Linked DNA regions of Rattus norvegicus. The protein of the gene in region 2 binds, or shares a complex with, the protein of the main gene of each other region. Links are inferred from orthologs where the notes say so. Each region holds a gene or a part of one and is shown on either strand. Other genes may lie near its edges. The genes, in order: Agk, Timm10b, Timm22 and Timm10.

Region 1 (7,099 bases), on a different chromosome or scaffold from region 2:
CTGTGTGCACCCATACTTTTTTGAACAGCATTAAGTTGTTAGAGATACAATTGCTGGCCCTCAAAATTACAACAGGGAAAGTCAGTCTACAAGACCTAGTCTAAGAAAGCACTCCAATGCAGGGGAAAAAAATTAACCCAAATTAAAAAGTACCCTGAATGTTATTACTATTGACTTAGAAGGTTATAACAAGAAAAACTTCTGAGAAATTTTTAATTCACTCATTCAATAAATGTTTACCTTCCGGCTTCTTGTATCACAAGCCTTACATTACACGCTGTGTAACAATTTCTCCAACACTGTTCCATTTACTTCAGGTCTTTTGACAACCATTTGCTCAAGATTATGTTAATTAATTGCTAGGAAAACCAGGCCTTAAATTCAAGATCACTACCTTTTCCAAAGATTTGGTCTTTGTTCTATAAAGCTTTCAATCTTCCTGAGTCCTGAGGACAGTGTTAGACTCACAGCAATGTAACTTAGATGTCAGGACTTCCCCCCTTTCCCATCTACTATATCCATACTCCCAGCCACATCAGGCAGTCACAAGGATGTGCCTATATTTAGTTGTTTTACCTGCTTCTATCACCGAGATATTGAGGCCACTGCTACCTGCAATTTAGTATCCCGAGAGACGTGCTATTTGTCACCATGGGTACTTAAAGGAAATGATCAGAGTAAATCTGCCCTCACCCTCATGAAAGGGTCTTACCGTGCAAAGGCAGAAAAACTGCAATGACAGAAAGAGCCCATCTCCATCCCTGACATCAGGACGTAGTAATTACTAGATTAGGAGGGTACCACACCTCAACTGGGAGCGTGCCAATCTCTGAAAGGCTAGGTGCTCCCATCAATACCTTGACATTTCAACCTATCAATATTTGAAAAGTCGATGTTATCGTGTATGTTAATTTTCAGGCCCAGGCTCTATCACACACAGATGTTAGCATGCCACATTGACAACCTACTGGACTTTGTTTCCACTTTCAGCAAAGAGGGTGTGACTCAAACTACTGGTCTGTCCCAGCGGGATAAATCCAATTGGAATCTTACTGAAGGTAGCCTGGTAGAATAAAAGAAGACAAAGTTGTGTTATTACAGTCTGAAGATTAGGTTTAAAGGGAGGCACATGAGAATCCTCTAGAACAAAGTAACTGACTATGTCTCCCATCTCATCTCCAGTTCCCATCTCTAGGCAGTAAGCAAATACCCCAACATGAGCAGTTTCTGAGACAAAGCAGTCAATGACAACACAGTGACTCAGAACTTAGAAGATATATTTGAGTACTCAGTAACTACAATTATTTGTATGAAACTGGGTTAAAATAATGATAATCTTACAACAACTGGATCAATGAAACAGTGTGAGAGACTGTACTAAGCTATCCCACCTGCTGGGAAATACAGAAACAAAATTCAACTAAAAATACCTACTAATCCTACAGTGACCAATGGCAGGTGACAGTGTTTGACAAGCTTTCTACTTCAAATAGAGGAAGTCAAATGATGGCCAGTTAATGACACAGCAAGTGATTTAACTAAATGTCACATATATAGCCATTACTTGAAGATTCTTAAAAGACTATTTTGAAGATAATCTCTTATTGTTTTACCAAAATATTTTAAACTGTGGCAGGAAAATGAATGAGATCTTACATAAGTCCACAACCCAGATTTAAGAACATTTGCCATGTTGCTTCTGATGTCTTCAGAAATAAACTGGATCTCAAAATTAAAATAATTAGGTAGAGACAGATAAAGTTCTGTTCTCCTGAACCCTCCTAGAGGAAACCATTATGCTAGGTTGGCACGACTCTTTTGCATTATTTTTTATTACTACAGACTTACTTATCAAATAACATATAGTAACAATACTGTTTTCTAAATTCTAAACTTATTTGTATTTAACATTTCTAAGATCTAAAGATGTAGATATTTATAGATCTACTTCATTCTTGTGTATGATATACATTACACATTTGTATGTGGGGGGAAAGAATGAGTGTGTGTGTGTGTGTGTGTGTGTGTGTGTGTGTGTGTGTGTGTGTGTGTTGAGGGTACACAAAGAGGCCAGAGGGCAGCTTCCTGTCTATACACACCGTCCATAATTGTTTTTAGATAAGGTCTCCCATATGTCTTGAAACTGGCCAGCCAGCACCAGAATTACTAGTAGCACCACTAACTATACTCAGTTGATTTTCCATGGACCCTGGGATCAAACTCAGGTTCTCATGTTTGCTCTTAACTAAATAAGCCTAGTCCATCCACTTAATTGCTACCTGGCTCCTATTATATGAACATATCACTATTAATTTATAAAAGAATTCCATGAACAAAAGATTCTATAGAAAATTTTTATATAGCACACTAGCTGTGTTAGAAGGTACAGGGTACCTGAATTACCAACACAGGAAGTCTATCATGGGTTCCTGAGAGTAACTTATGACAGAGGAAGAAGTATTGCACCATCTGATCAAAACCCAATCCTCTCACAATTCCACTGGGTTGAAAATATAACACAGGATTTGAGTATGATGGTCTATGCCTGGAATCCCACAGATTTTAGAGACTGAGGCAGGAGAATCACTAATTAAAGACTAGTCTGGGCAACTTATCAGGACCCTGTCTCAAAATAAAAGTTAAATGGACAAAGGGCTGGAGGTGTAAGTCAGTGGTGCACGCTCACTTAGACATCCAAAGCCATGGGTTCAACCCTTAGTACAGAATATGTTTGTATGTATGCATGCATGCATGCATGCATGTATGTATGAATGTATATATGTATACATACATAACTATAAATATAATATGAATGTATGCATCACATGGGGGAAAGACAAAAGAATGAGAGCAAGTAGAAGCTTAACATATTTTTACAAGCTCACCTCATCTGTTCTTCTAAGTACTCCAGTAACAACCTATGAATGTAAAAAATATAAAAACATGTATTTTCCTTATCAAAACAAAATTAGGATAAAATTTCATGGACCATAAACTTATTTATTTTCTTCTAGAAACTATATTAAATAATGTATTAGATCTTAAAAACACATCATATTGTCAAAATGATCAGTGCTAAATTAGATTTTATTCTTAACCTGGAAAAATACAGACTAAGATAAATTATAAAAATTCCACATACATTAGTAAAATTATATTTCAAGGTCTACAAAACATAAGTATACTAATGTTTATGTGTTGTAGGTTCTAGAGAAATATGAACTCTTTTCAGTTATACAGAAAAGCCTCTGTTAGCCTTCTGCAGTACAGAGAGGACAGGATGGCTTAGCATGCTCAGAAGTACTCAAGTGCTTCTTCCTGAGGGCTACGGAAACAAAGGGGCTAGACAACTAGCATTAACTGTTTTATTCTATTCACTATCATTAGGTAGACTAGGTTGGCCTGGAACTCACAGTATTCCTCCTGCTTCAGCTTCCTTAGGATTGTAGGTATGAACTGTCATAAAAAAAAACAATCATTTCTCTAGCAAAATGTCTTTTAATGACTGCATATACCCCAAATATACAATTCACTGTCTTTCCTTTAAAACATTTTGTAAAAATAAAGGTTGACATATCTCCTCCCTTTACCTTGTCCTGCCTCATTGGGTTTGAGTATTAAAAGGGCTGTCAATGATCTACTTCATTCTTTGTCGGTAGACAATCAGAACTCTTCACATTTCATTAACAAGCTATAAAGACAATTATGAGACCATTAGCAGAGCCTTTGTAAAAAAAGAAACTTACTACGGCTCATATAAATGCCAAGTCAAACTTAGGACAGCTTTTCTGCTGTTCATTTCTGGTCCCTCACACTGATGAAGCTACCAACGAGAGGTCAAAGCCAACAGTAATGCAGTACTGCGATAAGTGGTATTACTATTAGGACAAAGACAGGGCTAGGGGCGTAGCCAGTGGTAGAGTTCTTGCCCAGCATACAGAGGCTTGTTCTGTAGCACTAATTGCCAAACAACTGACCTTAGAAAGAGCAGCAGAGAAGAAGGCAAACATACATCTGAACAAGCATCGTCTCTTTTTACAAATGCAATCTTAAGAGTTCACTTTCTATACAACAGAAATGATGTGAGTGCCCATAAACGTGTTTTCTTGAGAGAAAACTTCATTTGATGAGGACTTGTCCTTGTGGTGAAGCTGTGGTGTCATCGCAGACCTGCTGTGTAACAGCATGCACAGTGTAACAAGCTTGGCCCATCCATACACATTTGCCTCCTGTTTTATTCAGTATCTGAGATCTAATCTTGCTATGTAACCCAAGACTAACTGGAACTCAAGATCTTCCCACTTCATCTTAAGTAATTGATTATAGAGTCTTGCTTGTTTTATTTAATTTCTCAGACAGACTTGCTTACATATAAACCCTTCCTTGAGCTGGAAGGAAGATTTACCAAAAACATGGAAGGAAAGTACAGGAGAAAGCTTAGGGCTATATAAGTTTGAGAGCAATAGCCCTAAAATAATGAATTATGGCAATTTCCTTAATTATTGTTGCCATTGTCCAAGAACCTAATTTCCCCCTAATGATGGCCCTCCATGGGGAAGAAGGACCCTACCTCCTGCAGGGTGCCATCTCCTCCAGCAACAATGATCACATCGGTCGTTTCCATCAACTCCAAGAGCTTCTTGGCTTGTCCCTCATAATCTGTCTGGAATATCAAAGACGGCTTTGGTAAATTTGTCATTGTAAGATCACATGTGACACATGTTACAGGATGAAAAATGTTCTTTAAAGTCTTATATTGCTCCCTTAGTTTTGCATGGTTGAAAGACATGAAAATGCTATGAAAGCAATTAGGTATGGAATTTTTTATATAATTTTATACTTCCTAAGACAGAAATGCCTTCAGAAAATATCATTCTAAAAAGGCTGCTTATTCTAAAAATAAAATCAAGCCCAATAATTTGCCTCAGTTGTATAGTTAGCCAGTCAGAGGATTCGTTTCCAGTCCAGTGTGGCTTCCATTACACTGTTTACACTCTGTTTTTCATCTGAAGGCAGGAAGTCAAGTGCATATGCAAATAGGGAAGTAGATATAATGAGAAGGAGAACAGATTTCAGAGCCCCAGAGACCTACAGTAAACCTCAGCTCTGCTACTTTTTAACGGAGTAGCTTAAACTCACTTGATTTTAATTTCCTTATCAATGAATTTTCATGTATCAAGAGAGGGACAATTATCTTTCCTGTACTATTGTTACACAGCAGAATTTAAAACAGCTAGAAAAGTGTTTGCAACTGATGATTATTATTGTTTTGCTATGATGGCACAGAAAAAAAAATGCAGGTGTGTTTGAAGAGCACTCCAAGCTTCCTATTTTATTGAACGTTTGAACTACATTTCAGCCACCATTGGCTGAAGACAAATGCAAACCTTAAAGGGCATAAAGCCAGTGCAACAGAACACTACCTCCACTTTGAAATACAGTAGACACATTATTAGGCAAAAACTAAATACTTATATATCAGATGGGCTAAAACACCTTTAGTACAATTTGAAATACCAGCTCTTTGTGCCCTGTTCCCAGCATAGAACTCTAAAAATCCACAGAAGTTATTTTGTTACTCACAGGAAAACCCTCACAGAGTATGTACTGGTAACTCTGGAAGGACCCTGGATAAGAACTGGTGGCCAGAGAGGCCAACAGATCCCTTACAGAATAGAATCTTGAGTTCCATACCCTAACCTCCAGGGAAAGGAGAGGAGCCTAAGGGTGAGTTCATACATCAGGGCTCAACGATTTCATCTATAATATATACAGGAATTCCTGTATATATTATACACACTTAGGCAAAGAGAAATTATGTGTAAAAAGAGTAAAAATGTTAACAAGGGGGAAGTAAATAAATATATTTATACATATATTAACTTTTTTGAAAATTTAAAATTACTTCCAAATAAAATTTAACAGAAAAGACAGGAAATCAACCTTTCAGAGACCAATAGTCTCAATTGAATGTAAGGAGAAACATTAATATTTCTACTAATAATTAAATCTTCCTTTAATATAATACCTATTATCTGAATATATGTACACAATTCTGAGTTTCTTAAATTGGGAAAATTACAAAATACAAAACCAAAGACCATAGGGCTTTGGTATTAAAGAATTGTCACGGCAGCAGCTCTCTGCTCCCAGACCCTGTGGGAAAGAGACCTCACCGCCTGGTCAGGTGGGCACTCATAAGGCTGCAGAGCGGAAGAGACCACTAACACTGCCCACCCCTGCCCACATCCCTGGTCCAAGAGGAAACTGTATAAGGCCTCTGGGCTCCCGTGGGGGAGGGCCCAGGAGCGGCAGGACACCTGCCTGAGACACCACCGGAACCTGAAGGAAACAGACCGGATAAACAGTTCTCTGCCCCCAAATCCCGTGGGAGGGAGAGCTAAACCCTCAGAGAGGCAGACACGCCTGGGAAACCAGAAGAGACTGCACTCTGCATACACATCTCGGACGCCAGAGGAAAACACCAAAGGCCATCTGGAACCCTGGTGCACTGAAGCTCCCGGAAGGGGCGGCGCAGGTATTCCTGGTTGCTGCCGGCACAGAGAGCCCGTGGGCAGCACCCCGCAAGCGAACTTGAGCCTCGGGACCACAGGTAAGACCAACTTGTCTGCGGCAAGAAAGCTGCCTGGTGAAATCGGGACACAGAGGCAGAATTCCTCTAGGACCGGGCACGTTCTGTGTTTACCGGAAGTCCCACACCCGCGGACCCCGGCCCGCAGCAGCTCTCTGCCCCCAGACCCGGTGAGAGAGAGACCCAACCGCCTGGTCAGGTGGGCACTCCTAAGGCTGCAGAGCGGAAGAGACCACCAACACTGCCCACCCCTGCCCACATCCCTGGCCCAAGAGGAAACTGTATAAGGCCTCTGGGCTCCCGTGGGGGAGGGCCCAGGAGCGGCAGGACACCTGCCTGAGACACCACCGGAACCTGAAGGAAACAGACCGGATAAACAGTTCTCTGCCCCCAAATCCCGTGGGAGGGAGAGCTAAACCCTCAGAGAGGGAGACACGCCTGGGAAACCAGAAGAGACTGCACTCTGCATACACATCTCGGACGCCAGAGGAAAACACCAAAGGCCAT
Region 2 (6,540 bases):
GGGGGTGGGGGGATGGAGGTCAGAAATCTAAACTCCACCCCACAAGGAACTACTCCAGCACCCCCATTCTCTTAGTCATAGCAAAGACTGTAGATTAAGACCCAGGGAAAGGGAAAAGGGCCCCATGGAGAGTTTCTGAGAAGAGGTGCTTGAATCTTACCTTATATGTGTTGATGCCCCATTTCTTGACAATGTCAAACTTTTCTCCAGCGATGCCTCGGGCCACCTCATCACCAGGGCCAGAAGGTGAGGTGCTGTGAGACGGATGGCGGCCAGACCCTAAAGGACCAAGTTCTCTGACACTAGTTTCTCTTAGATATAACCAGACACTTCTGTGGCCCACTTCCCTTCCAGCACATGAAATGACCTTGCTGAAGAAGGAAAATCTAGACAGACAACTGCATTCTTCTGCTTACTAGGGGGAACAAGGACTTGTGTCCTGACCACCAAACCAACTCAATGCATGTATCTGGCATTCTTGGGATAGGGTAAGAGTGTTGTTAGTGTACTCAAGAAGAAAGAATAGAAGCTATCGTGATATGTGTGATTGGCAGGATCAAAGATGGTGGGCACAGAAAACAAGGAAGTTGGCTGATATTTCTAGGTAGAATTCTAGTCAGTGTAACAGTCTAAAATGAAAGTCTGAGAAGCCTCACAAAGCTCCAACTTGGCCTTAAGCTCCTGAGTGCTCATAACCTCAAGGTCTTAACTTGGCTCAGGTGGTGGCGGCAGGGAGGAAAAGACAAATGAGATTATCTTAGAGACTAAGTGGCAGGGGGGAAGCAGATGGGCAACTCTGGAGCTGGTCTGGGACTGAACAGGCTATGAACTTCACACTAGCAGTTCTGAAGCTCTTCAGTCACGAGTCAAGCTTTACTGTATGTGTCCTATGTGCCGGCAAGCTGCCTTAACAGCCCCCATCCCCACCCCTCAAGCCTGTCTCTATCACTCATACCTGTGGGGATGAGTCCGTCACCAGAGCCCCCATAGCCACCAGACACAATGCTAGTTTCATTGAGGTTGGGTCCTGACACCATCACCTGCTGGAGGTCCTATAGGTCAGAGAAGAGGGGGCACCTCAGGAACACAGGGATAGATGAAACATTTGGGGATGGAGGCAGTGCACATAAAGTTTATACAGAACCATAAAGATTTGAAAACTAGGAAGGAGTTTAGTTAACTGAAGGCTATTGGGATGGGGGAAAGTAAAAGGTTTATAAGTCAGGACTGCATAATGAGACAATTAGAAGAATCAAACAGAAGCACCTGCTCCAGCCCATCGTCTTCAGGAAGCTGCCCAGCCTCGCCATTTCCGTGGATGGGAATCTCCATTGTGGCTGCCTTCCCTAGAATCCCGTCCGTCATGGCTAGGGAAGGGACAGGAGTCAAGGTCTCCACCCCAGCACGCTGTAAAGCCCAACAAGACAATTCTGGAAACTAGCCAGCACTCCAGAATAAGGAGGCCTCCCCTGTGTTCTCAGAGGTTTCAGGGATTGTCTTAGGGCTTGGGTGTCCTGGGATCAGCCACCACGTCTTTCCTTGAGTATGTGTATCCATTCTCTTCTGAGTACATTATTTCTACAAATGCATGCATACCAAAGCCTCTGGTGTCTTCTCGTAACCCCCAACCTCGCCTTTAGTAACCATTCATGCATTCAGTCATTCAACAAACATTTGGTGAGTTTCTACTATGTGTGAGATACCGAGGCAATGGAATTGCAGCAGTGAGGACCAGAGGGAAGGTCTATGCTCTCTGGGAACTTAACCCTGCATAAGCATGTTTACCAAAACTCTTTCCTAGGCTCAGACGTTCACTTGCCACTCAGGCATGCTCTGCGATCCTGATCTTTCACATCCTTTGGTGTTCCTTCCCCTCTTCCTTCAGATGGTCTGGTCTCTTCCTTTCTCCATCTCATGCACCTGACTCCCTCAGGCCCTCCCCACCAGGCCTTAGTTGAAGCAGTTAGTGAATGTTCCTGGTGTCAGGACACCAGGACACAGGCAATCCCTTCCAAAGTCAGTTGAAGCCTTCCAGATGTGAGAGGCACCCCCCACCCCCATACACCTGGGCATCAGGTGTGTCCTCATCCTTGCCAAGGGCTCAGGGCATGTTGCCCTCAGTACAGGTTCGTGCGTTCAACTTCCCTTCGTCCAAGTACGTCCTTCTCACCTGGGCCGGGCCGCTCTTCCCCTCAGGGCGCGAGGCCCGGACCGCGCGGGGACCTCGGGTTCCAGTTCCCGTCGCGATCCTAGCAGCAGGTCAGAGATTTGGCGGAAGTGACATGCTCTCTGGGCAGAAGAAGCCGGCCACGTCGCAGAGAAAAAGGGCGGAGGTGACGTTTACAGTTGTGGGCAGGGCGAGCCTGGAGCTACGCCTTCAAGCTCTTGGGGGAGTACCGAGAGTTTACTTCCGGGGCGACTCCGAGAGCCACCCCCTCCGGACGGAAGTGGCGTACGCCATGCGCCCTGGGCGTGATGGAGCACCAGCAGCAGCAACTGAGAAACGTGAGTGAGAGCTAAGTTGCTCTCTGGGTTAGACGCGCAGTTTGTTTCCAGGGGTACACGCAAGAACCCCCAGAGGGGGAGGCGGGCTGCGCGCCCCAGGAAGCCTCGGCGGTGGTGAAGTCTTGGTTCCTTTTTCTCTCAGTTGCGAGACTTTCTGTTGGTCTACAATCGGATGACAGAACTGTGCTTCCAGCGCTGTGTGCCCAGCCTGCACCACCGAGCTCTGGACGCTGAGGAGGTGGAGACTGTGGGGGGTCCCAGAGTTGACAATAACGTGATGTGACTTACCCCCTCCCCCCACTTCCCCTCTCTTTCATGACCTCATTCCTAGGCTGGGGACCGGGAAGGATGGAGGAGGGCTTGACAGGACCCCTTTTAGTTTCTACTTCCATCTGTCTTCCTTCCAGGAGGCCTGCCTGCACAGCTGTGCTGGGAAGCTCATCCATTCTAACCACCGCCTCATGGCCGCTTACGTGCACCTCATGCCCGCCCTGGTCCAGCGCCGCATGGCGGACTACGAGGCTGCCTCTGCCGTGCCAGGTGTTCCTGCAGAACAGCCCAGAGACTCGCCATCAGGCAGCTAGCTAGCTGTCCCTGACCGCAGGAGAGAAGGTGCTTGGATAGGCTCCTCTATGGACCTTGGGCTTGTCTAAATATGTACAGAGAGACTGAGCTTGAAAGCTGGGTGCTCTTGCTCCTTTTCTTGGAGCCAATAAACCCGTTTTTGTATTCTGGTTAATTTACTTGGCAAGAACTTTTCTTTATTGGTACCATCCTTTATTCTGTCATCTACTGCCTGTCTAGTGCCTTTAGCCTTGGCAGTTGATGTATTACCTTCTTGTATGTAGAAGGACAAATTTAGCATTCCCAGCACCCCAGCAAAAGCAAGGATTATGGCTACAGTTTGAAGGTTGGTAATAACAATGGGAAATTGGTTCCAAAAGGAGAGTTCTCTGTGCCTGTCCTAGGGTCTAACTCAAGTACCTGAATATACATTGGCTCTTAACTAGTTTTTATTCTCAGCTGTCAGACAAAAGAATTGCTGTAGATCTAGGGGAAGAAGGTAATATCAAACAACAAAAGCAGGAAGAAAACAGTGCCCCCTTAGGTTTTAGTCACTGCTTCCTAGGAGATCAGTGACAACAGAACAAAGACAAGCCTCTAAGAATTTAGGAATGTTGACCATTTCCCCAATTTACTCTCTTAGTATTTCCTGCTTTTGTGAAATTAGAAATAAAGACTTTAAACAAAGAAGGACTTTCTTGTCTTCAGTCAGTCAGGAAGACAACATTAGTCAAACCTCAAGAGAAACCTGAGGGAAAGGGAGATGGTATTAGGGAGAGATGGTTAAATACCATCTGTGACCCTCCACCCGGTGCTTCCTCAGTGTTTCACTGCCTGTCTAGTCCCCTAGTTTCAGTTCTCTACCTTCCAGTACTCTAACTACCCTGTTGCCAGCTTCTCTATTCTTGTTTCATTATTCCCCCACCCCCTTTTGTGGGATTCACGTCTATACTCCGGAGGAGTCCTTTCCTGGCAGCTGCCATTTCCATGACTTCACTCCTAATGTGGAGATGGGGAAAGGAAGGAGGATATGGCATGCACCACCACATGGGGCTTCTGGGGCTTCGAGGATAATACAGCCTGCAGGGCAACAGCATGGGGTCTGCACCTATTACTGTTTCCCAGAAGATTAGACTCAGGCACTTGTGCTTGCCTGGTGTGAACTCTAAACAACTAAGCTACCCACTTCCCCTTCACTGCTTCCTGAAATCCCATCCCATCCCCTCCACCATTGCAACAGGTGGCCAGCTTTCATTTTTTTTTTTTTTTTTACAAAGGAATCAAATTCACAGTGAAAACCAACCATTCACAGAGCAGATTCTCTGCCCTCCCCCCACCTACAGGTCAGAAATTTGCGTTTATTTATTTATTTATTTTATTTATTTACTTTGAGTTATGGTCTCATGTACCCAAGACTGACCTGGAAATGGTAACTAAAAATGACCTTGAACTCCTGATCCTCCTGTCTCTACCTCCCAATTGTTGGCCAGCCAAAAAATTGAAAATCCCAGCTGACTCCATATTGAAAGGCTAATCATGTTCCAAGGCTTGTTATATGTGCCTGCAGTCATAGCACTAACAGGCCAAGCATTGTGAGTTTGAAAGCGTTCTGCGCTGTTATATCAAGACTCTTATCAATAAAGTGAGCTGGGACATCAAGCCTGATAGTCTTTGCACTACAGCAGACTACTCTAAATGATGTCTGTTGAGTTGTTTTGTATAAATTTATCATACTCTTTTTAATTGCAAAACTAGGAGGTATTTTTCATTAGACAGGTAAAGAAGCACGAAAACAGGAGGGCCCTGTCTTAAACAGTTCTTGAAAAGCAGATTCTGGCGTGTCACAACTTTTTTCTTTTCTTTCTTTTCTTTTCTTTTTTTTTTTTTTTTCTTTTTTTTTTCTTTTCCTTTTAGGTGGTTTTGCTGTGGGCACATTGGTCTTCAATACGATCCTCCTGTCTCAGCCTCCCAGGTACTGGAATTACAGACATGGGCTACAACTGGTTGCTAGATAATTCTTTAGGAATATAAAAATTGCTGACCAGAAGCTTCCCTACAGAGTGACCTGTGTACATGATTAATTTCACTCCTTGACAAGTACAAACGTGAGTAGAGCAGCTTGTGAACTTAATTCCCCAAACCAGGAAGGTGGAGACCCAGGATATTGTGTGACTGCTGAGAGAGCTCTACATCAGCATCTGTATGTATCCCTTCAATAAACATGTGCTGTGAGTTGTCTGTGTTTCCTCTCTTCCCATGTCACACATAATTAGTAATTGCTGGAAAAAGACTAGGAAACATATGTGCCTAAAGCCCGCTCTGAACTATCTGAACTGTTTTGTTTTGTTTGTCTCATTTTGTTTTGAGGTGGTCTCACTATGCAGTCTCACACCTTGGATTCAAATTCGCTGGCTTTTACTTCCAAGTGCTGAGGTTACACCTATGCCACGCCCACTCAGTCTAGAGAGTTCTTACATCCAGCATTATCTGCACTTTGCCTTCAATGCAAAAGCAAATGTGCCTTGATCTGGCTTGTTGGTCCTTTTTCTTCTTTCAGTCTCCAGTTTCTTCCCTTTCTGTGGTTGCTAATCATTTTCAGGTCTTGTCATAAAGTGATAACCATTGGCATAGTAAGAGCAGGGCAGTGTTCTCAAGCACAGCATATAGAAATTTTTTGTTTTGTTTTTGAGACAGTTTCTCTGTAACTTTGGCTGTCCTGAAACTCAACTCTAGATCAGGCTGGCCTTGAGCTCACAGAGATCCCCCTGCCTCAACCTCCTGAGTAATCACCACCTGGCAGGCATACTTTTGTTGGTTGTTTGGTTGGGTTTTGTGGTGGTGATGGTGATGGTGTTTGTGGTTTTGTTGGTTTTGTTGGTTTTGTTTTTGAGGGAGAGGGTTTCAGGAAGTCGAATTCAGGTTTTTGGACATGCTAATAAGCAAGGGCTCTACCTTTGACCTACATACCTACACCAGTTGTAAATTTCGACATAGTCTTGCCACAAACATTGGAGGGCAGAGGTGGTAGTCCTGACATTCTGAGTTCAGAACTTTACTGAACTCAGTACTGAACTGAAAGTAAAAGCTCTCTATAGGTAATCTCTACTATGCTACTGCTGACTAACCCATCCACATCATTCCCTTGCCCTTCTAAATAGTAGGAAACCCTCTCGGCCCGTGCCAGTGCCCATTCTTGGACTTGGAGTCCTAATTCATTTCCTACTTGAGTACTTCCAATTTCCTCTTGCTTATTGTCATCAGTTTCTAAATATGCTAAGGACTCCACTGTTAAACAGTTATACCGAGTTTCCAGTTACCATCCTATTTTTACTACTTTACAGATGTATCTCAAACACAGTTGTGTCTACCTTGCAAGTCATTATCCATTCCCAATCTCCAGACAAGCATAGTTTAAGTTCTGTAGCCCTTACTCTATTGAAAGAGTGCTTACAAGACCGCCTGGTGGTTATT
Region 3 (7,732 bases), on a different chromosome or scaffold from region 2:
ATTCATGTTGGGAAATGTCAACATCACCACTTTGTCCCAGACCACAAAAGAAAAGCACTCGAGAGCTGTTTACCGACCTCTGAAGCCGATGGCTCCACCAGTGATGCAGCCGCTGATGACGCTGTTCTTCCAGTCTGACTTCCCCCGGTACTGTGGGGGGAGAAACGCTGTTTAGAGCCAGGGGACTGAGCCAGACAAGGCCGAGGAAGAAAACACAGCGCTCCCAGCTGCCCAGTTTAGTCCTGCTCAAACCTTTATTTCAAAAGGGCTGTTCCTAAATTGTATGTGCTTATACATGGTTCCTGCAGGTGGCACCAGAGAGCTAAAGTCAAGTCTAGCATTTGGGAAGCAAAATTTCCGTATATTCTCCAGGATAATTTTATTAATTACAATGACCTGAATTGGGGATGTAGTCCAGGTCAAGCCCTTGCCTAGTATACATAAAGCCCTAAGTTCAATCCCCAGTACCAAATAAATAAGATAAACAAAACAAAAACCCACTTGCCTACAGAAGATTTTTAAAAATGTGCAAAATCCACATAATATGTAAAAAGTTCACATTAGGGACTATTTTTTGGATGAACAATCTAGATTAAAATTGACATTTTTAAATGTTTGTGTTGAGGCAAGGTCTTTCCAGCCCAGCCTGGTCCAGATCTCATGATCCTCCGCTTCAGTTCCTGAGTGCTAAAGCTGCAAATATGGACCACATTTCTGATAGCATTCTGAAGGAACACCTCGAACACCGCTCTTTTTAAAAGCTGTGCAATGGGCTGGGTGTGCTGGCACGTGCCTTTAATCCCATCCCTGCACTCAGGAGATAGACAGGAGGATCTAGTGAGTTCCAGCCATTCAGGGTTACACTGTAAGACCCTGTTTCAAAAAAGGAGGGTGTGTGGCTGGAGAGATGGCTTGGTAGTTAAGAGCACTGGCTTTTCTCCCAGAAAGACCCTGGTTCAATTCTCTAGACTTACATGGCAGCTAGCAACTGTCTGTAACTCCAGTCCTAAGAGACCAGATACGCTCCTCTGGCATCCTCAGGCCCCAGGTACACGCATGATGCACATACATAGCAGGTAAAACATTCACATTCACATTCACATTCACACACACACACACACACACACACACACACACACACACACACACACACCCAAGCGTTTTTAAATGATTTAAAAAAAAAAAAGATAATTAAAAAGTGTACAAGGGCAACAGGAAGAGCTTTCTTAAGAAGCAAGAGGCACTTACAGACTCTACCAGACACTCAGTACAGGAAAACATGGCACCCACAATGGCAAAATTTTTGGCATAGGACATTCCTCTCTGTCCCATGTCCTTCAGGACTTCTCTTGCAGTTGGTGTCCGGTAAGGGTCCTTGGGGTCAAAGCCCACGTTGGTATCAATGCCAGCAGTAAAGACACCAAATGCGCCTCCCAAGACAAATCCTAGAGGTAAGCAGAGATAAGAGTTCTTTTGCACATTCTCTAGTTTACCATTTGGGGATGGTAACTGAAGATGGCCTTTCTGGTCTCTTGGCACTCGGTCCTGATCCGGCTTTCCTCACAGTACAGTCGGAGTCTACCCCCACAACTCCTCTAGGATTTATGCCTTTCAGCTTTAACCCTGTTCTTCAGCTACCAACGTTGTATATGACCTGTAACAACACTCATACAGTCACTCAGTAAGGAAGCATCATGTCCCCGCTACTCTGGAATATTCCTTATTTTTCATAGTAACTTGTGAGGTAGATGTTACTATCTCCCCTTCCTGGCTTTTCTGTTTGAGGGCCTCACTACATAATCCCGCTGGCCTCGAACCTGACACTGTAGAACAGGCAAGCTCCAACTCCAGAGGTTCATTTGCCTTTGCTTCCCAAGAGCTTGGATTAAAGGTTCTGAAACCACCATCCACCCTGCCTCTCTAAACCAAACCCTGGAGAGGTTAAGTAACTGTCTTCAGAGTCACATGAATATTAAACATGGAATCCTATGTTTCTGTCAACAAATGCCTTGTCTGAGCCTTCTTTTGTCTGTGAGTGTAGGCCAGAGTGGGTGCCATTCCTCAGGAATTACCCACCAATTTCTTTTTGTTGTTGTTGTTTGTTTGTTTGTTTTCTAAGACAGGGTCTCTCTGTGTAACAGCCCTGGCTATCCTGCCTCTTCCTCTCCAGTGCTGGGCTTAAAGGCCCCATAGCCTCACCCAGCCATACCTGGCTTTTTTACATAGATGCTGGGTTCTGAACTCAGACCTTCATGTTTGCATGATAAGCACTTTACCAACTGGGCTTTCTCCCCAGCCATTTCTGTATGATGTCTTTTCAAGATGATCACCTCAAGATCAATGTAAGCTCAATGAAGCTAGACCCCTCCTCTCCTGGTCTTGCTTTCTAATCACTTCAGCTCCAAAACTCTATCTCTTCTTTCTACTTATTTGTTTGTTTTGATTTTTTAAATATTTATTTATTTATTTATTTTATGTATATGAGTACACTGTAGCAGACACACCAGAAGAGGGCATCAGATCCCATTACAGATGGTTGTGAGACACCCTGTGGTTGCTGGGAGTTGAACTCAGACCTTTGGAAGAGCAGTCCATACTCTTAACCACTGAGTCATCTCTCCAGCCTGGTTGTTTTGGTTTTTGAATTAGTTTCTCAGGGCTGGAGAGATGGCTCAGTGGTTAAGAGCACTGACTGTTCTTCCAGAGGTCCTGAGTTCAATTCCCAGCAACCACATGGTGGCTCACTACCATCTATAATGAGATCTGATGCCCTCTTCTGGTGTGTCTGAAGACAACTACAGTGTATCCATATACATCAAATAAATAAGTCTTAAAAAAAAAAAAAAGAATCAGTTTCTCTATTATGTAGCCCTGACTTTCCTGGAATTCACTCTATAGACTAGGCTGACCTGGAACTCTTGAGATCTGACTGCCTCTTCCTCCCCACTATTTAAGATTTGAACTCCTGTATTTTTAAAATGTTCTTCATTCTTAACGAAATTTAAACTCATCTACAAATAAACAACCTTTTTACCTGTACACTATAAGTATGCTGTACATTCTCAAACCCTGGAAGATTAATATGTGTATGTGTGTGTGTGTGTGTGTGTGTGTGTGTGTGTGTGTGTGTGTTGTTAACATCCATCCCAGCCTCACCCCGACTAATCACACTGGCCTTCGCTGTTTTTTGTTTTTGTTTTTGTTTTTGTTTTTTTTTAATTCTGAGACAGGGTGTCTCTATGTAGTCCTCCCTGTCTGTCTGTCTCTGCCCACCACCACCACTCCCAGTGCTGGGGTTAAAGGCTTGGGCCACCATCACCCAGTAATAATTTCCAAACTCCAAACTCCTGCCTTGAGGACCTTTGCATTTGCAACTCTACAGCATTCTTCTCTTTGCGTCCTAATATTCTCCTTCAGGGCTCCTGTCGCTTTCATCCATATTCCTTCTGCCGGGCACCTGACCGTTACATAGTAACAACTTAATGAATGAACGAACGAACGAACGAACGAACGAACGAACGAATAAAACGAAGAAAAGAAAGCAACAATTTAGGAACCTGCAGACCCTGACTGTGAATGTTAATCTCAGGGTCAAGAGCGGCATCTCCGGGTTCAAGGAGTCAGCCAGCCCGGGAGCGATCAAGGTCGAGATGCACAGGTTCCTCGCCTCCCAGGCGCGTGGTCTTAGCAAGGAACCTTAAAGTTCTCCAAGCCCTCAGCCTCCCAAGGGTCCCACAAGCCTCGCCTCACCTCCCACACAGGCCAGCACAGCCTTGAAGGCGCAACTTTCCATCGCCCTCTCGATCATCTTCTGCTCCTCGCTCTTGGCAGGACTCGGGATCCCGCCCAGACTGCCAGGCTCCAGAAGCCGTGGCTGACGCTTGTCGCCCACCAGGTGCTGAAGAAGAAGGCTGTACTGCAACGGAGCTTCGGCGGAACCCGCCGCCTCAGGAGCTGAAGCCCCAGCCTTGGCGGCCGCCATGACTGTACGGGCTCTAGTACCTTTCACGTCGTATTTCCCACAGCCGATTCCACATGCTAACCGAGGAGTCCGGCCAGCCTAACGACAACGGCAGATTCGCCACACTGAGGAAGCTGTAGAAGCAAGAGTCAGCCTTTGCATCAGCGTCGAGGAAGCTATCACGTTTCCTCAACGCCTCTTTAAACAGTGAACCAAGTTTGTAAGGCATTGCTAAAAACTCTGACAAGGTTTAGTAGCTCAAGAACACCCCTCAACTAGGGGCTCCATTGCGGTGCGTGCCGGGATTTGTAGTTCTAATTCGAATGTCCAACTGTATTTCCCAGAAAGCCGTGCGCACTCGCTGGCTTTGCTACTTCCTTTGAAAGCTCGTCTGAGAAGCGGCCGAAGAGAAGTCGGATCCTGTTAGGCTGCAGTTCGTCGAACTTGCAGCAGGGGACGCACGTGTCCGCTTTGTTGCCAGGCCATAAAGCAGAGCTCCAGCTACTACAGTCACTAGAACCACAGACTGGTTTACATTCTGAGATCGAATGTACGCCCTTTGTATGAAAGTGTTGAAACATGACATAAATGTGTTCAAAAAGCATTTTATTACATATTTATTAAGCCTTTAAGGAAGAATAAAGAAGGCCAACAAATGTGAGTGGTGGTCTAGCACGCCTTAAAGCCCAGACAGGCAGATCTCTTGAGTTTGAAGCCAGCCTACTAGTCTACAGAGTGAGTTCCAGGGCAGCTGGGGCTCCACAGAGAAACCATTAAGGAGAGAGAGAGAGAGAGAGAGAGAGAGAGAGAGAGAGAGAGAGAGAGAGAGAGAGAGAGAGAGAGAGAGAGAGAGAGAAGAGAAGAGAAGAGAAGAGGAGAGGAGAGGAGAGGAGAGAGAGAGAGAGAGAGAGAGAGACCAAGTACAGAGTATTGCATAGGGTACTAATGGCATACGACTATGGTAACAATGGAAGATGTCAAACCCCATGGCTGGTAGTTGCCGGGTGTGGTGGTGCACTTGGAGAGATCTGCCTGCCTCCAGAGTGTTGGGATCGAAGGCGTGTGCCACTACACCAGGCAACTTGGAATCGTTAATGCTTTGTGGTTTTTAGTGTTAGAGAGCTAAGTTTGAACTTTTTGAAACTCATTTCTTTCTAGATGCCATCCTTGTTTGTTTGTTTGTTTGTTTGTTTGTTTGAAGCAGGGGTTCCCTGTGTAGCCCTGGCTTCTTGGGGAACTCACTCTGTAGACCGGGCTGGCCTCAAACTCAGAGGTCTGCCTTGCTTTGCCTCTGAGTGCTGGGATCAAAGGCGTTGATCACCAACCATCCTATTTCTAGATGCCATTCTTGTACCTCAGTCAATGGCCAAGTGTTAGAAAATGTTGCTCCTATTACATCTTCTTTTTGATCCTGGCCTTAGTAGTGGATCTGTGATTTCCTCATTGAGAAGAAAAGATTTTCTGGGCTGCTCAGTGACAGATCCTCAGATTCTAGCCTGTTTCTGGTGAGTGGTCCAATATTCCTGGATCACATTTCCTATATGCCAACATTGCCGGAGAGTTGTTTTTTGTTTTGTTTTGTTTTTTTTTTTTTTTTTTTTCCGGGGCTGGGGACCGAACCCAGGACCTTGCGCTTCCTAGTCAAGCGCTCTACCACTGAGCCAAATCCCCAACCCCTGTTTTTTTTATGTATGTGTGTGCACACACATGGGTGTGCAAGCGTGGGTGTCTGTGAAGGCCAGAAAAGAGCGCTGGATGTGGTACACACCCCTTAATCCAAGCACTTGGGAGGCAGAAGCTGGCTAATCGATCTCTCTTAGTTAGAGGTTAGCCTGGTCTACTTATCAAGTTACAGACTAACTAGGATGACATAGCAAACCTTATCTCAAAACAAACAAATACATGAAGTGTTTTTTTTTCTTGTTTAGATTCTCTTCCGTTCCATAACAGAATGCTGATGGTCCAAATTAAAATATTTTAAGACTTTTTAAAAAACAAGCCAGCGTGATTCCAATTTTTAAAAAAGATTTATTTATTTATTATACATAAGTACACTGTAGCTGTTCAGACACACCAGAAGAGGGTATCAGATCCCATTACAGATGGTCGTGAGCCACCATGTGGTTGCTGGGAATTGAACTCAGGATCTCTGGAAGAGCAGTCAGTGCTCTTAACCGCTGAGCCATCTCTCCAGCCCTATTTATTTTATTTTATATGTGTTTTGCCCACATGTATGTCTGTGGGCCATGTGTGTGCCTGGTGCCTGAGGAGGTCAGAAGAGGGCGTTGTTCACATCGAGTAGACTCAAGAGTTTGTTACCCTCTTTATTCAAAGATTTAGTCTGATGTAAGGAAGACATGCAGGTGCCACAGTGACAAAGGACAGACTCGCAACGGTTAATTTTATGAATCATTTGAGTAGTTCATGGAGATCTCAGCTCATTGGTTCAGCTTGATTCTGGGTATTGCTGTGAAGGGTCTCTTGGGTCAGATTAACATTTGAGTTAGATTGGTGGACAGATTAAAGCTAGTAGCCTCCCCCTGTGAGTGGATCTCATTCATTCCTTCGGAAGCCTGAATGCGACAAAGAGGCAGAGAAAGGGAAGTTCCTCTTTGATATTTAGACTTGAAGTCTGAGGAATTTACACCATTGGCTAGATTGGTCTCCGTCTGTCTAGCGCAGATCTTCTACAGACTTCTCTGATTTTGTGATGAGTCAGTTCCTAATAGTAAGCCAATCTCCCTCCTCCTCTCTAGTTCTGACTTATAGAAGTCAGTTCTTTCCAATAACCAAAGTTATCAAGTGATTGATGTGCCATAATTTAATCATCCTCATTGACACACAAGTAGGCTTTTCCTGTTTTTTCCATTTACACACACACACACACACACACACACACACACACACACACACACACACTATGCACATGTGTTAGCATACCTAAAAGCCAAGAACTGTGATATATGAATCATTTAAAAAAGTTTTAAGGGGTTGGAGAGATGGCTCAATGGTTAAGAGCACTGACTGCTCTTCCAGAGGTCCTGAGTTCAAATCCCAGCAACCACATGGTTGCTCACAACCATCAGTAATGAGATCTGATGCCCTCTTCTGGTGTGTCTGAAGACAGCTACAGTGTACACAGTATATATAAATATAACAAACAAATCTAAAAAAAAAAAAGTTGGATGTGGTGGTGCATACCTTTAATGCTAGTGCTTAGAAAGCAGAGACAAGGGGCTGGGGATTTAGCTCAGTGGTAGAGCGCTTACCTAGGAAGCGCAAGGCCCTGGGTTCGGTCCCCAGCTCCGAAAAAAAGAACCAAAAAAAAAAAAGAAAGCAGAGACAAGTGGATCCATGTGAGTTCAAGGCCAACATGGTCTATAAATTGAGTTCTGGGACAGCCAGGGCCACACAGAGAAACTCTTTGTCTTGAAAAAAAATGTTTTTGGAACAAGATGTTACTGGCCCTGAACTCAGGATGCCCTGCTTTGGAGGATCCTCCTAAATGCTGGGATTACAGGTGTGTGCCAGCATGCTGATATATGGATCTTTAGTTTTCAAAAGTTATTTTATGTGTATTTTTCCTGCATGCATATCTGTGTACCACATGTGTGCCTGGTATCTGAGGAGACCAGAATAGAACATCAGGTATCCCTTGGAAATGGAGTCACAGACAGTTGTGAGCCACCATATACGTGCTGGAGATTGCACCTGGGTCCTCTGGGAGAGCAGTAAGTTCTTTTAACTGCTTAGTCACATCTCCAGACCCAA
Region 4 (7,691 bases), on a different chromosome or scaffold from region 2:
GTCAGAGAGTCATCAGTGAAAGCAAGGAGAGTTGATGAGGATCAGCCACAGTGGAGACAGCAGTGAAGTCTGGCTGTGCTTTCTACTCAAGTTAATGGGACCGACTCTCACCTCCTGCTCCTCTCTGGGCAGTCCAGGAGACATTTATTTTTGTGCTCTCTGAGTCTCTTAAGAGTGTCGGGTCCCAGTGAGGAGATCCTGCAATCTTTTCTTTTGGGCTCCAGTCCCATCCAAAAAGGCAGTACTGACCCCAGAGTCAGTGATTCTCTCTAAGGATGGGAAAGATGGGGTGTGGGGTAGAGTGAGGGACCAGAGATTAGCAATTTGGGATGATGCCTGGATTCCAGTGATAGCCTCAGAAAGGGAAATTACTAAGGTACTTTTTTTTTTTACAAGAAACCATGGACAATTGGTAAGCCTTATTTGTAGAACCAAAAGTACTAACTATAGAATGTGAAAATCGCTTTTATTTCCTTTGATGAGAGCTGTACCCAAGCTGTGCAAATACAGGCTTAGACTGAGCCCTGACCATTTCTTACTCTGTTCTAACTATCCCTAGGCCTAGGCCTGGAAGCTTCTAGTCTCCATAAATCCAATCTTCCAAGCTGACTGATTCACTCTGGCTTCTCTTGACTTCCAACTGAATTGCTCTGCCTGGCCTCTCACTAACATGGGCAATATGTTCAATTGTTTTGGTTTCTTCTCATGTTCTGGCTCATGTGTCTTCACCTGTGTCTAGATTGTTCTCTCTGAGGCCTGTCTCTGTAAAAGTGTCCCAGTAAAACTGCCATTCATACACACCACACCACCTTTTCTCTCTCCTACTTTAAAAAAAAAGATTTATTTATTTTGTGTTTGTGAGTACACTGTAGCTGTCTTCAGACACACAAAAAGAGGGCATCAGATTCCATTGCAGATGGTTGTGAGGCACCATGTGGTTACTGGGAATTGAACTCAGAACCTCTGGAAGAGCAACCAATGCTCTTAACCTCTGAGCCATCTCTCAAGCCCCCTTTTTCCTACTCTTAAGTAGCCTCTTTCTCTCTGTGCTATTCTCAGGAGAGTTGGCTATATCCTATCTCTGACTCATTTAGCCAGATCTTTCTCTGAGCCATCACTTTGTCCCTCAATTAGACATCACTTTCAAACATGTCTGCTTTCTTCGGCAAACTAACTTTACTTTCATTGTTTGGGATTAAAGGTATGTTTGGGACTAAGGGAATGTTAAAGGTATGTCACTCCAGTCAGATCACAGAGACTTGGAAGGTCTTTGATAGGATCTCCTGCCAAAGCAACCATGTTGCTGGGTTAAAATTCTTCTACAGTAAAAGAAAGACAGGGCCACATAGCAATAATAACGGTAGCACCATTGTCAGCAAAAGCAATGATTTTCCAGGGTCTGAAGGGAGGGGAAGTAGGAAGTTGTTCAGTGTGTGTAGTTTTAGTTATGCAAGATAAAGGTCTTCTAGAGGTCTTCTGTGCAATACAGTGCATATAGAGAATAACACTATCGAGTACAAGTAGAGTGTCTTTTGTTAAATGTTCTAAGTACAGTAAAAAGATCCTTCTGAGAAGTTGGGGAAAATACTTGCAATAGGGCTGGGAAAATGGCTCAGGTGGCGAAAGAGCTTTCTTTGTGGTAGTAAGGTCCTGATTTGAGATCCCTAGAACAAATCTAACGTCAGACATGGTGGGATGGGTCCACAATTCCAAGACCCTATGGTGAGATGGGAGGCAGAGACAGGAGCATCTCTGAAAGCTTTCAGGCCAGCTAGGCTGGTATAGGCAGCAGCAAACACTAGATCTTGTTTAAACATGGTTAAAGTTAAGGATGGAAACCTGAGGTTGTCCTCTGACCTCCAAGCACACAATTCATTCTCTCACACACAAACATAAAAAGATAAATAAATTTTAAGTTGTCAATAGATTACATTAGGAAATAAGTGGGCTGGTGAGATGGCTTGCTGATATAGGTGATTACCCCCAAGCCTGACAGCTTGGGTTTGATTACTCTGAACTCCCATGATGGAAGGAGAGAATCAGCTTCTACCAGTTGTCCTTTGACCTCCACAAGCCCTTCGATTCCACCATGGGTGCATGTTCTTATAAATAAATTTAAATTTAAAAATAGTATGTCAAATGAACTGTATAGTTCAGTTATTGAGTGTTTGCTTACAATTCCTTCAGCACCGTGGAAGAGAGATGAAAAAAATCACTATTAGCTGAGAATGTGAAAATAGCACTTTGGAAAAAAGACTTCATCTGCTAAAGACAAGAATAGATCAAGAAAATGCGACTAAATATCAAGAATTATTAAATTGGGGCTGGAGAGATGGCTCAGTGGTTGAGAGTATTGACTGCTCTTCCAGAGGTCCTGAGTTCAAATCCCAGCAACCACATGGTGGCTCACAACCATCTGTAATGGGATCTGATGCCCTCTTCTGATGTATCTGAAGACAGCAACAGTGTACTTATAATAAATAAATAAATCTTTAAAAAAATATTAAATCTTGGTGTTCCTCATCATTTCTCCTTGCTTTCACTGATGACTCTCTGGCCCAGATCATCTCACACTGTACCAAATCACCAATGAAGTTCATTAGACTGTGTTCTCTGTGTGTTGCAGATTTGCCCTAATAAAAATAGTTTTAAAGGATAAAGCCGCAAGGCCCTGGGTTCGGTCCCCAGCGCCGAAAAAAAGAACCAAAAAAGGAGATAAAGCCAAGGGGTTGGGGATTTAGCTCAGTTAGGTAGAGTGCTTGCCTAGAAAAAAAAAAAAAAAAGAAAGAAAGAAAGAAAGAAAAAGAGAAGGATAAAGCCAATAATTCTTATTGTTACATTTATTTTTTTATTTATTGTGCATGTGTATGGCTATGATAAAGAAGTGCAGTAAAACATGCTGCAGCGCTGGGGCAGTTGGTAGAGCGCTTGCCTGTAGCATGTGGTCCTACTTCCATCCCAGCACTGCAAAGTTCAGGCATAACGGCGCTCATCTGTAACCGCAGCCCTAGTGAGGTTGAGGCAGGAAATAAGTTCTAGGTCATCTTCGGCTACACCGCAAATTAGAGAGCCTGGGTTCCATGAGACCCTATCTCAAAAGCAAGCACAGAAGACCTCTATACATGTTTCCTTTTTCTGCGAGCAGCGATTTTGTATCCTTCTTTCTGCAACCCCACCAGTTAACGCAGTTTGTTCATTTACTAAAGTCTGGGTCCTACTCCCTGGGACTCTGATTTCACGAGTATGAGGTAACGTCTGGGCGTTGAGGTTTTTAAAAAAGTGCTCCAGGTGGTTTTAACATGCAAAACTGACAGGCTCCTTTGGGAAACGTTCTCCCTTCTTCACAAAAGATCCGTCTGCGCTCAGGCGTGGGCTCTCCATGGTAGGCTCAGGGAGCCAAGCCTTTTCCACACTCCAAACACTCAGAAGTCTCCCGGACAACCAGAGGGATGGAACGCTAACAAGGCTGTCGGCGCTCTGCCATTGACTCCGCACTCTATGATACTTTGGAGTCCACTCTAGCAAATTGAAGTAGGTTTCTCTTCAGCCAGTGGCTCCTCTCTATGGTAGCCGGTTTCCCAGAGCCGCCTGGTTTGCGTTTTCTTCCGGATCAAAGAAGAGGTTAGACTTCCTTCCGGAAGTGACCCACGTGCTTCTTATTTCGCCTATCTTGGTACCCGGTTAACTTTTTACTATTGACCCGAAGTTGGGGGCGTTGCGGGAGCTGTGACCTACCCCAGGCCGTGGTGAGTGAGCCATGGTATCTGATCCCCAGGCTGACCCTGATTATGCCATTGCCATGACAGAGGCGCAGCCTTTAGACCGGCCCTGGGAACCTATGTTGTGGTTAGGGTCACATTCTCGGGGCTGCGTGGGTTCAGGCCCAGGGTTTTGTGTGCTCTGCCCCTAATGTCGGTCCTCTGGCTAGGAGTGATTTCGAGATACTGAGAGCTCTCGGTTTCCAGCTCCGAGCCCCATGACATCTTGAGTGACCTTGAACTGGACACTGTCCCCTTTAAGGGCCTCATTTCCACTTCTGGTAAGAGGGCTGACTACGTTTTCTTAGGGTACTGGTCCCTGCTGGTCTGAAACGCTGTAACCCCTCGCGCCCTCCAGCCCCTGGGTGGGTATTAGAGTGAATGTGGAGGGGTCGGTGCTGACTTATCATGTACGCTCCCAGGACTAAAGACCAGGAGGCTATTTTCTCCACGGTGCTAAGTTGACATGGATCCGCTCAGAGCCCAGCAACTGGCAGCGGAGCTGGAGGTGGAGATGATGGCCGACATGTACAACAGGTAAAGAGAACCACTCCGATTCACCTTGTCCAGAAAACTAGCCCTCGTCACCCCTACCGCGATAGAGTGAAGGACTTGTAAGGAATGCTTTCCCTAAGGTAGTAGAGCCAAGTCCCAACCTCCTAATCCCGTCCCACCATTACTGCGGGCTTGGCTGAAGTAAAGACAGGTCACTGGAAGGACTTGGTTGGCTATTTAGAGGGAGTAAAAGGGGTGTGAAGGAAAGTCTCCTGCTCAGGCTCTGCTGAGTATCAAGTACAAGTAAGCACTGCCTTTTCTTTCTTTTCTTTTCTTTTCTTTTTTTTGGAGCTGGGGACCGAACCCAGGGCCTTGTGCTTGCTAGGCAAGCGCTCTACCACTGAGCTAAATCTCCAACCCCTCTTTTATTTTCTAATAGCCCATTTTATTACCTTTGCTTCTGTATTTTGTGTTTATTTATGAATGCCAACATGCATGCTATAGCAGCTCACATGTGGAGGTCAAAGGACAACTTACTAGGATTCCATCTTGGATTGAACTCAGATCTTCTGGTTTGGCAGCAAGGGCCTTTGCCTCCTGAGCCATCTGAACAGTCATTTAGTAGTTAATAGTATTTAGTAGCTAGTACTTATTAATTTTTTTCTTCCTTTTTGGGGGAGAGGTGGGGTGAGCGTTTTTGTTCTTGTTTTTCAAGATAGGGCGTCTCCGTGTTGCCCTGGTTGTTGGCTTGATCTGTATAGAGCAGGTTGGTCTCACTCCCAGAGATCTGTCTCTGTCTCTTGGGTGCTGGGATTAAAAGTGTGTGCACTTGATCCTTATTAAACTTTATCTCTGTGTTAGGCACTTGCAAAGCATTTTATATACATTGTCACTTTAAAATTTTTTTTTTTTTTGGTTCTTTTTTTCGGAGCTGGGGACCGAACCCAAGGCCTTGTGCTTCCTAGGCAAGCGCTCTACCACTGAGCTAAATCCCCAACCCCCACTTTAAATTTTTTTAATTTATTTGTTTTATATGTATGTATGTTTTGCTTGCATGTGTATATACATGTGCATCACATGCCCTCAGAGGCCAGTAGAGGGCATCATATCTCCTGGAACTGGAGTCAAAGATAGTTGTGAGCTGCCATGTGGGTGCTGGGAACCAAACCCAGGTCCTCTGCAAAACAGTAAGTTCTCTTAACTACTTTCCAGACCCCCATTGTCATTTTTGTAAATACTTAAAAATAATTCAAAGGGAGAATGGGGTGGAACATAGGATGTTTGTCTAGAATGTAGGAAGCCCTTGGTTTGATCTCGGCATGGTGGGTGCCTATACTCAGAGATGGAGGCCAAAGCCAAATAGTTGAATGAATGAATGAATGAAAGAAAGAAAGAAAGAAAGAAAGAGAGAAAGAAAGAAAGAGAGAGAGAGAGAGAGAAAGAGAGAAAGAGAGGAAGGAAGGAAGGAAGGAAGGAAGGAAGGAAGGAAGGAAAGAAGAGCAGTGGGTTAATTTTATTAGTACCATTTTAACATAGGGGAATTGAGGTATTAAGGGGTTTACTAATCTCAGGTTTTGTAGCTGGTCAGCAACAATGTCAGGCCAGAACTTGAGGCTGACTTCACAACTACTGCTTGTAGCTGTTAGGCCAATTTGGAAGCATCCTGGTATGCCAGTCACTGCTGAATGTCTCATAATTGCTTATCTCATCAGTAAAACTGGCATAAGAGGTGCTATGCCATACAGACATTACAGTATTATACTTTATCATCTAGCATATCATACAGGAAACAGCAGGTATCTGCTGGTTTTTGTCAGCAGCTCTTTTCATTGATTGGTTTGTTTTTGAGACTATAAATTAGAATGGTTTTTAAAATGCAGACTGTGCAGTCAGACTACCTAGCTTTGTGTGATATTTAGCAAATTACTGAGCTGTGTCTTAATTTCCTCATCTGTAAAGTGGGGATAATGATTGTGCCTACCCCACTGGGCTACTGTGAGGGTTGCCTAACAGAGTCTGTATTAGCCCTTAGCATGATGGCTGGCACACAGCCAGTATTCAGCAAGTGCTTCTGCTTTAACTAGTCTTGTACATGACTCAGAGAAGATTCTTATTGGAAGAACCTTCCAAACTGGTTGAAGAAAAGTTTCTTTTCTTTTTTTAGGTTTATTTATTTAATATATACACTGTAGCTTTCTTCAGACACACGAGACACAGGAGAAGAAGGCATCAGCTCTCATTACAGATGGCTGTGAGCCACCATGTGGTTGCTGGGATTTGAACTCAGGACCTCTGGAAGAGCAGTCAGTGCTCTAACCGCTGAGCCGTCTCTCCAGCCCTCTACTGTTTTCTTGAGGGAGGAACCAGACAAGAATCAGTCCAGCAGGGTTGGAATTGTTGAAGGTTCCCGGGATGCTGTAGGAAGTTACTGATACAACCTTGTTCTTCTCTAACCCAGAATGACCAGTGCCTGCCACCGGAAGTGCGTGCCTCCCCACTACAAGGAGGCAGAGCTGTCCAAAGGCGAGTCTGTGTGTCTGGACCGATGCGTATCCAAGTACTTGGACATCCATGAGAGGATGGGAAAAAAGTTGACAGAGTTGTCTATGCAGGATGAAGAGCTGATGAAGCGGGTACAGCAGAGCTCTGGGCCTGCATGAGGCCCCGGGCCATGTACACCCGTGGTGCACCTTGCCACCTCTGATTAAAGTGTCCCTAATGGATGTCACATGTGAAAACTGTCATACTTAGGCCCTTGAGCATCTCCAGGACCCCTGCGTGTGGTAGAGCTCTCCTGGCTAAGGAAGGGGACTTGTCATGCTGGTTTGTGACTGTGAATGTGTGTATATGTATATATCATATTAAAACAAATTTGTGCAAAGCAGTGTCTTTGTTTGAGAGTAAAGAGTCAGAGCATCCAACAGTAGAGGGATTTAATGCAGTGGGTCTTTACTTTAGTGGGGTTGGGTTGCTTTGTTTTGTTGTGTTTTGTTTTTAAAAACAGGATGTCACTCTGTAGACCAGACTACCCTCAGACTCACAGAGATCCATTCACAGAGATCCATCTGCTTCTGCCTCTCAAACGCTGGGATTACACGTGCGTACCTTACTACAGTGCTTTAAGACTATAGACTAGTGGGACCACAGGGTTTGGGCTTAAGAGTCTGATGCTTACTGTGTGGCCCTGACTGTGCTACATCTCTGTGATGTACTAGAGTGACTTGGGTATAGGAGGTATTAAGTGTCCTTTAAAGCTTGATAGTAAGTGGAGGCAAACAGGCCATTTCTACACATATCAAAGAAAAGCTATTTAGAGGACGTGACAGTGGATAGGGTTTTGCTAGCAAGTAGCCATTCTGCTCTAGATGTTACCTAGATAGCTATATTACTGTCAAGATGGGAGGCGGTTCAGCCATCTTGGAAAGTGAGCTAGGTAGG

Evidence for each region.
Region 1: Timm10b (region 2) and Agk share a complex: the UniProt entries of both Homo sapiens proteins name them as parts of the TIM22 complex. The link is inferred for Rattus norvegicus from reciprocal best matches to the Homo sapiens genes TIMM10B and AGK.
Region 3: Timm10b (region 2) and Timm22 share a complex: the UniProt entries of both Homo sapiens proteins name them as parts of the TIM22 complex. The link is inferred for Rattus norvegicus from reciprocal best matches to the Homo sapiens genes TIMM10B and TIMM22.
Region 4: the proteins of Timm10b (region 2) and Timm10 are in contact, whole or in part, in a cryo-EM structure (PDB 7CGP), measured with the Homo sapiens proteins. The link is inferred for Rattus norvegicus from reciprocal best matches to the Homo sapiens genes TIMM10B and TIMM10. Residues at the interface, in NP_036324.1 of Homo sapiens: Gln7, Leu11, Leu14, Arg15, Phe17, Leu18, Leu19, Tyr21, Asn22, Arg23, Met24, Thr25, Glu26, Cys28, Phe29, Val33, Pro34, Ser35, Leu36, His37, His38, Arg39, Leu41, Glu46, Leu49, His50, Ala53, Gly54, Ile57, His61; in NP_036588.1 of Homo sapiens: Ala6, Leu9, Leu13, Glu16, Met17, Asp20, Met21, Arg24, Ala28, Lys32, Cys50, Asp52, Arg53, Cys54, Ser56, Lys57, Tyr58, Asp60, Ile61, His62, Glu63, Arg64, Met65, Gly66, Lys68, Leu69, Leu72, Asp76.

Annotation. Positions count from the first base shown.
Region 1 is NC_086022.1:70,124,244-70,131,342, reverse strand, and holds part of Agk (acylglycerol kinase, mitochondrial), read right to left. Parts: intron 4,664-7,099; coding exon 4,571-4,663; intron 2,919-4,570; coding exon 2,886-2,918; intron 1,064-2,885; coding exon 969-1,063; intron 1-968. UniProt on the Homo sapiens protein: Lipid kinase that can phosphorylate both monoacylglycerol and diacylglycerol to form lysophosphatidic acid (LPA) and phosphatidic acid (PA), respectively. Does not phosphorylate sphingosine. Phosphorylates ceramide.
Region 2 is NC_086019.1:169,389,901-169,396,440, forward strand, and holds Timm10b (mitochondrial import inner membrane translocase subunit Tim10 B), read left to right. Parts: upstream 1-2,454; 5' UTR 2,455-2,475; coding exon 2,476-2,505; intron 2,506-2,647; coding exon 2,648-2,743; intron 2,744-2,912; coding exon 2,913-3,089; 3' UTR 3,090-3,756; downstream 3,757-6,540. Other genes in the region: Arfip2 (arfaptin-2), read right to left, coding at 161-279, 956-1,052, 1,267-1,365. UniProt on the Homo sapiens protein: Component of the TIM22 complex, a complex that mediates the import and insertion of multi-pass transmembrane proteins into the mitochondrial inner membrane.
Region 3 is NC_086028.1:61,747,948-61,755,679, reverse strand, and holds the start of Timm22 (mitochondrial import inner membrane translocase subunit Tim22), read right to left. Parts: upstream 3,995-7,732; 5' UTR 3,983-3,994; coding exon 3,751-3,982; intron 1,446-3,750; coding exon 1,249-1,445; intron 151-1,248; coding exon 78-150; intron 1-77. UniProt on the Homo sapiens protein: Essential core component of the TIM22 complex, a complex that mediates the import and insertion of multi-pass transmembrane proteins into the mitochondrial inner membrane. In the TIM22 complex, it constitutes the voltage-activated and signal-gated channel.
Region 4 is NC_086021.1:90,311,480-90,319,170, forward strand, and holds Timm10 (mitochondrial import inner membrane translocase subunit Tim10), read left to right. Parts: upstream 1-3,659; 5' UTR 3,660-4,224; coding exon 4,225-4,295; intron 4,296-6,711; coding exon 6,712-6,913; 3' UTR 6,914-7,134; downstream 7,135-7,691.